Arabidopsis thaliana: one gene and its partner. The protein of the gene in region 2 interacts with the protein of the main gene of each other region in a pairwise test. Each region holds a gene or a part of one and is shown on either strand. Other genes may lie near its edges.

What was found.
Region 1: the proteins of AT1G20360 (region 2) and AT5G18260 interact in a protein complementation assay, tested with the Arabidopsis thaliana proteins (one large-scale study listed by BioGRID).

The regions. Positions count from the first base shown.
Region 1 is NC_003076.8:6,035,401-6,039,911, forward strand, and holds AT5G18260 (RING/U-box superfamily protein), read right to left. Parts: upstream 2,707-4,511; 5' UTR 2,587-2,706; intron 2,321-2,586; 5' UTR 2,216-2,320; exon of another isoform or gene 2,111-2,215; 5' UTR 1,896-2,110; coding exon 1,701-1,895; exon of another isoform or gene 1,594-1,700; coding exon 826-1,593; 3' UTR 802-825; downstream 1-801.
Region 2 is NC_003070.9:7,045,917-7,049,642, forward strand, and holds AT1G20360 (F-box family protein), read right to left. Parts: upstream 1,829-3,726; 5' UTR 1,760-1,828; coding exon 851-1,759; 3' UTR 588-850; downstream 1-587.

The DNA of each region.
Region 1 (4,511 bases), on a different chromosome or scaffold from region 2:
TCACTCATTCTCATATAGACTATAGAGTGATGAAAGGATTAGTTTTGTTGTTTCAGAAGCTGTGGGGTTTCTTTATAATATTCGAACAATTTTGGCTCTGTTTCGTTATATATATACGAGGGTAATTTTGGAATTTCAAGATGAGATTTAGTGAATTAGGGTTTTTGACCAAAGGCTATAAAACTCGAGCAACCAAATCAATCAAATCTTCAAAACTACTTGATCTTATCTGAGCTGAGAAAAAGTGATTTATCGTTAGGGTTTCGGCCTTTTCGGGCCAATGAGCAACCCCAATATCCTTGGCTGGCGGCTCCGGTGACGGAAAGGTTTCGATTCCTTTTATCGTTAATTTCCCATTGTTTTCAGCGATGAAGACTGCTTGCTGCCTGAGCGCACGATTTTACTCGGCGCTGTGATGGCTATTGCGAGCTTTAACACCCACCCAACCAAATATTTATGTGTTTTTGAAAATTTTAGATTTTGATTATTTAAGGTTTCTTCTTCTAGCTTTTTGTTTTTGTTCGATTCGAATTTGTGGATTATGGTTTTGGTTTTCTGTTTTTGTTTTGTTTTGTTCTTATCAACTAGAAGAAAACTTAATTCGTGTGTAAGGCTTGTTGTTCCTAGTTAACTAGAGTTTCTTTGTAGCCTGAAATATAGATTTTGGATTACAAGTTAACTAAAATGCGTACTGCTTCTGTCTATAGTTTCCCAGACACTCGAGAAACTATAAGTTTGAAAAGATTCTTTCTTTTGTGTTATAACTATCGATTAGATCCAAGTAAAAGTTCAAAGAACCTAATTTAATCGGGTCATGTTGGATTTCTAGGAAGAAGATGAGAAGCTTATATTCAAACAGCAGCTGAGTTTGTCCCATTTATGGCTTCTTCTGGTATTGTGTCTTCTTTGATTGTCATTGGAAGGGACTCTTACTGTCTCTAATTCTAGAGCTGTGCGGCTTCTTCTGAGAGATCTTAGAGCCATTTGCAATGTTTCAGGTGCTATCAGTGGCTGTTCCATTACTCCAATGGTGTTTGAGCAAACAGGACAAGACGGGTCTCTGGTTTGAGCTGTTGGGGTTGCTTTGTCTAAACACTCAACATGGTAGACGTGATGGCAGGGGAAAACACCAGTGGCTGGCATGTCTCTGGATCTCAATATCTTGTATGAGCTCCATGGAGATTTCTGAGATAAAAGCTTCTTGCAAATCCCGCATCTTTGATGTGTCATTGAACCTTGTTCAGATCTCGGGTTTGCGACTTCTGTGTCATTGGATCTTTCAACATCTAGCAACATGTCATTGCTGCTCGAGTTTGGTGATACTTCTTCCTCTACTGGTGAGCCTTGGTGGTTTCTTGTGGACATCATGATACTGGAACCAGGATTTGTGGACGAGTCTTCTTGCGTATGATCAGGTTCAGGATTCTCACAAACTGAAACCGGGTTGCAGAAGACTCGAGGGTAAGAGCAGTGAGTAAGGCTGGAAGACTGATTGTTGGTCGGAGTCTCCCATGGGACAGATGACTCTGAAAGAGACAGCAACGATCTGAAACTCGTTGAGATGGCGGTACTGTCTCTATCAAAACCGTTCTCCTGAGCCGTAATTACATCAAAGAGCGACAAGGTTCAGCCAAAGATGAAACCAAGAAAAGCCCATCTTGAAGATTAATGACTTGATATGTAAAGAAGACCAAAATTACCTCGTTTAAGCATTGAGGATTTGAGCTATTTGGTCTTGTTAGACTATTATTAACCAAGGAGGTTTTCTGTTCGTTCCCATCAGAAGCAGATGAGTATGGAGCCCATCTTGGCGACTGCTGAAATCTGAATTCCAAACTTTTTCTTTGTCTACTGCTGCCCGAGTGCAATGCAAAAGCGGGACTCTCATCACTCATATCCTGTTCCAAACCATCTCTAGTATAGCCAGCAGCAGGTGAGAAGCTGAAATTTGTCCGCCATTGCAAGGCTTCAGCTTGACTTGATTGAGGAATATCCCTTCCGCTGTGGGGTGAAGATTTTGTTGTAACCAGTGGCCTTGAGGCCACAATACAACAGAGTGCACCCGTTTTGAGCTCTGGTTTATCCTCACCGCCTTCAAGGCCAAACAATGCTGCCAAAAGGAAGAGACTTGAAGAATGATTTCAGTTGAAACCAAAGTCGTCTTTTTGTAACTTGTAAACACTGTGGAAGGCTAAGTTAATGATTGTAATCTTACTTAATAAATGAAATTCTTGATTATACAGCCAAAATCCCCGAGTTTAGTGATTAGTATAAACACATTCATAAGTACCAAGCCATCTCTGCAGGGACAGGAACACACCTGAGACAAAATGGAAACAACAGTATTTGAGGATGCATATAAATTAAACTAACGCAATATTTAAGACAAAACACTAGATTCAGACTCGTAACAGCTGTTTTGAGCTCTTATAATCACAGAAGAAATTTAGACAGCAAAAGATTCATTGATGGAGAAACCAAAATAAACAAACCCAGGAAGAATTCGAGGAAGATAACCAAGTGTCGGTGAAAGCAGACTACAGATTATACAGAAAAGGAAGATTTTAAAAATCAAAGACAACAAACCTTCAAACTTTGGAAAATGATAACCTGGGTTTGAGAAAGAACTCTGTAATTTGGAGATGGCTGATATTTTGTAAAATCGATGAGAGTAAGAGAGAGCGCACTTCTCTTTACTTTTTCTTTGTCTCTTTTTTTTTTTTTTTTTTTTGAAATAAGAACGACAGAGACGACGACGACGGCTATGAGTTCTGTTCTGTAATGAGAGTGGCCAATTATTAACCCATTATTACTCCTTTTAAAAATTAGTATTTCTGGTTAATCCCCTCACTGATTTTTGTTGTTGTTTTTATTCTAACATTGGAATAATCACTAATGGCTATGATGTGATATGGCTATTATTAGAGTTACACATTATCTATTTTCATTAGGATATATAAAACTAAAAAAATATTAGTGAATCTTTAACAAAAAAGAAAAGAAGGTATTTACTATTTAGAGAAAGAAATGTGTTTTCATTTGAGTGAAATCCATTATAATATCAACTATTGTTATCTTAAAACCCAATTATTGGTATCATCGAATAAAGGTGTTTTCACTAGTACCTATCAAAATTCAACTTTCATCCTCAACTAACGAATAGATTACTCAATATTAAATCTTTGGTTAAGAGTACTGCAATATTGCTGAACTCCTAGTCTTAATTAGACAACTCTTTACGCAGTAATTTGCTACTTTTGACAGCAATTAACGCCTTTGATTAATCATTAATCTCTTACTTTTCTAACTCTTACTAAGTATTACTTTTCTTTCAAAAATTTCTTTCTTTTCAATATTTTTTTCACTTGCATAGCAAAACCATTTGCCCTTTTCTTTTTCTTGCTGAAAGATTAAAATTAAACATTTTTAAAAATGTGGGACTTCAGATTAAATTGTCTTTTTATGAACGAAACTAATGGACTTCATAAAGGCCCATAATATAATGTAGGCCTTTTTGGTCCAAACTATGGTCCATGGCATTACCATAAGCATATCTGCTTATTGTCTAACCTAATCCATTAAAAAGGTGAAAATTAAAGCAACAAAAATGAAATATGTATCGTTTGTAATGTTTTATTTTACATGTTTTAAAAGTGAAATGTTTTTTCATAACAAATCAGCTGTAAAAAGAAGCAACACATAGAAAATTGGTTCCACCTAAATAACTGCTCTGGACAACCGGTTAAGCAAAAAACATTTCCAAATGGTAAGAGGGTTTGATTCACACGTGTAGTCTATCGTTTAGAACCTAGGAGGTGGTACATTTGTATATAGTAAAATAAATTGTTTAAGCAGAAGGAAGAAGATAAGAGACAAAAGAAACGAAGCAATAGTAATCATCTAGAAACCTAAAAAGGGGAAGAGAACGGTTAGCTTTGCTGCAAGTATCGATCTAAAAGCTTCGCTTTAAATGGAAAGTCCTCTTTCTATGCACATTTTAATAATCCTCACATTCATGCATTTTTTTTTCTTTTTTCCAAAATATTACTAATATTTTATTCTAGTATATAATCTAGTTGTAACTACTGTAAGCAATGCTATGTTTATACACCAAAAAGTTTATGGATAATCTCAAATCCAAAATTGAACCAAAAAATAATAACAATAATCAGATTTATGTCCTGAATTTGAGGTGGAAGAGACTCACACGCTTTTTTGCAAATCATCATCATATAGTACATTGAACCAGAAGCCTCATTTATTTACGTACGGTTAATTGAGTTTTTATTTATTTATAACCGTTACATGATTATCTGTATATTAACGTTTAGAACTTTTTTGATAACACTATATGATTTTTAAGGGAATAAAAAAGGACTAATATAAGACTATATATCAAGAAAAATTGAAAACTATGTATTTGCATGGCATTATGTTTTTACATCTTTGATGTTAATGCCTTTTAATAATAACATTTACCAAGATGTTATTCCTTTGGTATTTTTCAAATC
Region 2 (3,726 bases):
AGAATGTAAGTTTTGCGTAATACAAGCTTGTGTTGCATTTTATACAAGCTTCAGCTATCTCGCCAAAACTGGTTTCTAGTAGCACAATGTGCTATAGTAAAGTCAAATGGAAGACGTAGCGTTTCAACGTTTATAAATTGTTCCACTTTTGGTCTAGCTTTATTTTTTGCTCACTGAGTGATGGATCGGAGGAGTCATATGTATGTGGAACAATTTTTACAAGTCGGAGAGAAACTGAAATGAAACGGGAGGTTTTTGAGTTGTGTGATTGAATATATATGTTAAGAGAATTTTTCAAATCGTGAAATCAGATATAGTGGGGGTTAAATTCATACTCGTATAGCAAAAAAAACATTTTTTGTATTATTTTTTCAAAGCATTCGGACTTACAAAGTTTGTTCCTTGCCAAACAAGTAACCGAACACACCAATTAATGTTAAGAACATTAGAACAAAGAGAAGATATCGGAAAACATGTCATCACAAAAATACGAAGTACTCTCAGTGCTTTTGGACAAAGTAACTAACACGGTCCACAAAAAGACTATAACCTAAGCCATTCGAGGAATAAATGAATTAAGGTGAAACAATGAAAAACGTAACTCACTGTTACTTGGTTGTATTAACGAGTCTCATAATAGAAATTAGATAGAAGACGCGATGTTCATTACAATCTACTATCGCTTTATAATTTTGCTCACCCTCCTCAACAGGACATCAGGACGGCGTAAACTTATAGAAGTCCCAGACTGCACCGGCCGTATATATGATCGACCCTAAAACTCCCCAACTGTTAGTTTCCATGTCGTACACATGAACTACACCATTTAAACGATTCTTTTTCTTCTCCCTCACCAGAAGACGCTTGCCATCGTACACAACCATGTTCCAGCATTCAACTCATTTTCTTTCAGAGATACGTTCTTGATCCGCCTAGCGAGACCCCATTTGAGATTCCCGAGTAATGTGTAAACTGAGATTGTTTGTTTTGTCCCTGATATTAAGGTCAAGCGATTGATCTTATCATCTGCCGCAAGTAACAGTTTCATATCCGGTACTTCCTGATGAAAACCGGAAGGAATCAAGCGTGCTTGCTCTGTCTCGGGATTGAAAGCTATGATGCTCCCGTCGTTTCTCAACCAATGAAGAGTGCCTTCCAAGTAAACAGGTTTCATCCACTTGGTGAGATCACTTTTTGAGTCAGCATTGATAGTCGTTTTTGATAATCTCCATGAATCGCCGTCGTTGATTTCGAATTCATACCTCGTCTCCATCTCAAGTATGCAGACGATCTTGAATCTCTTTCGATCAACCGCAAAACCAACGCACATCGCTCTCTCCGGATGTGCCAAATAAATCCAGCGATCACCACTTAGCGTAGGTATAAACTTTGAGCCAGAAGGATCCAAATATCGAAACCTCTTTGTGAGGGGATTTGCGACGAAGAGGCCACCGATGTACAGTAGGAGAAGGCCAGAGCATGACCCCAACATGTAACATCGGAAATTACCTTGAATTGCTTTTTCCCCCATTGACATAGATTTGCATGAAGAGACTAAAGGCTGGCACATGACGTATCTGGCGCCACCGGGGGAAAGGTTATACAAACTGGATTCTAACCGGGAAAAGTATTCGGATTCAAAAAGCGGGTCAGATATATGCGAATTGATAGTTCTATTTGTGGATTTCATCATCGCCAGAGATTTGGGTTCCAATCTGAAAAGAATTTGGTCGAGGAGATGCAAAGGTAAGCTGTTCATAATCAGAGATAAATCAAAGTGAGAACTTATGTAGTTAAGTTTGATACTTTTGTCTTCTTTTATTTCAATGATTCGCTGATGAGGTTCTTAGAGAGAATTTTTATAACCAACAAATTGCCCCCAAAAATAAGAAGAAGGAAAAGTAACAATCAATGAAAGGAAAATGCAACACAAATTTCACCATTATAAGAAATGTAAAATTACTCAATTTTATTATAAAGTAACTTTATGACATTTCTATGGATTTGGAAATAAAAATATATTAGATGTAATTTATGAAATCATGAATATTCATAAGATTATGTATTCATAGTATTATATCTGAATGCAGAAATATACACTATATGTCTATATCCAATATTAATTAGCTTTATTATTATAATAATAAAATACTAAATGTCAACAAATACTTTATCCAATTATAAATATTTTGATTAATTTCTTAGAATTGTAAATTTAATTTTATAAAAGTTGGATTAAACTCATAATTGGACAACACTCCCAATACAGTAAAAAAAAAACTCTATAGATTAATAACTTTAAGACCATAATCTTTTATTAATTTATAGTGATATTAACTTATAAAGAAAATTGTTTTAATTGTTAAAAAATTTGAAAGGGATGAGTTGAGATAATTTTGTCTAAATAAAATTTGTGTGTTTAAATGTTATAAGTGTTGTAGTCTTAAACTCGAAATTTAAATATTTAGATTTTTTTCGAAAATAAATTAGACAATAAAATACAAAGACAATAGATGAATTTACTTATACAAATGATATACCTAAATTCAAATTTATTATTAATGACTTGGAGTATTGTATTTTAACATTTATAAAACTATCGAAATGAAAATGATTCATATCTAAAAAGGGAAAACTTAAATCAAATTTGACTATTTATGTAACATAGTTATAGAGTTCTACTACAAGATTATAGTTTAAAAACGTTATTATTACTTTATAATATTAACTGGGCTATATGTTCAATCCTGTCATGATGTGTTCTTTGTTCATCAAGAGAATCAATTACATGTTTTAGATGTGGCTGAGTATGGTGCGGATTTGACAGGTATAAAGACCAGACCTTTTTGCATATCAACTGTTCGGTAGAATGCTTGTTAGTACATTCAAATAGAGAGAATGATAAGGGTTTGAAATCAGCCGCACGCACAATCACGTCTTATATTTCAAAAGTTTGTGCGAAAGCCAAAGAAGAGAAAGTTGCATATAAGAGCATTGAAGAAGTTATTCTTTGTTGTAGAATTTCAACATTCAGAAAACCAACTCTTATTTATTTAGATAGAAGATATATCTGATGCAATAATGTTCTTACACTAGAGTGACCCAGGAAATAGGTTTCCCTGAATCTTAACAAGGTAAATAAATTAGAGAGATCTATTTACAGCATCAATATATGAGATTATTTATTATAGATAGTTATATTCGGACGCTGCCCAATGTTTCTTTGTAACTCTATTGGATGTTGAAAGCGAAGTCGTGCGTGTTCCATGCACCATTCTGATAGAAATAGCAAACCACGACTCCTCGTTCCTTTGGCACCGACTACTCAATACGTCGTCATATAAAACATCCCAAGACGCCCCACTTACGAGCCTATTAACAACTCATAGAAAGATTTGGAAAAAAACGCCAACTAAGTACTTATCAACAATGTCGATGCACAAATTAAGACAAAAAAACGTCCAATGAATATTAAACATGCCTGTGTTTGAAATTGTCTTGGTTCATCAGCAGCGTCAGTTGGTTGTTGTCTCCCTCTCCCCATTGGAAAACTACGCTCCCACTCATTGTTTTGAAAGAATATAAGTTTTGCTATTTCTATCTCTTGCTTTGTGTTGTTCTATTGTAGTGATTTTGTGCTCTGCCCCCTCTCTGTTTTTATAGCCGAGAGATGATTCAACTGTGCTCTGCTTTTTCCTTTACTTGTCAACTTCTTCCAACGTAAGT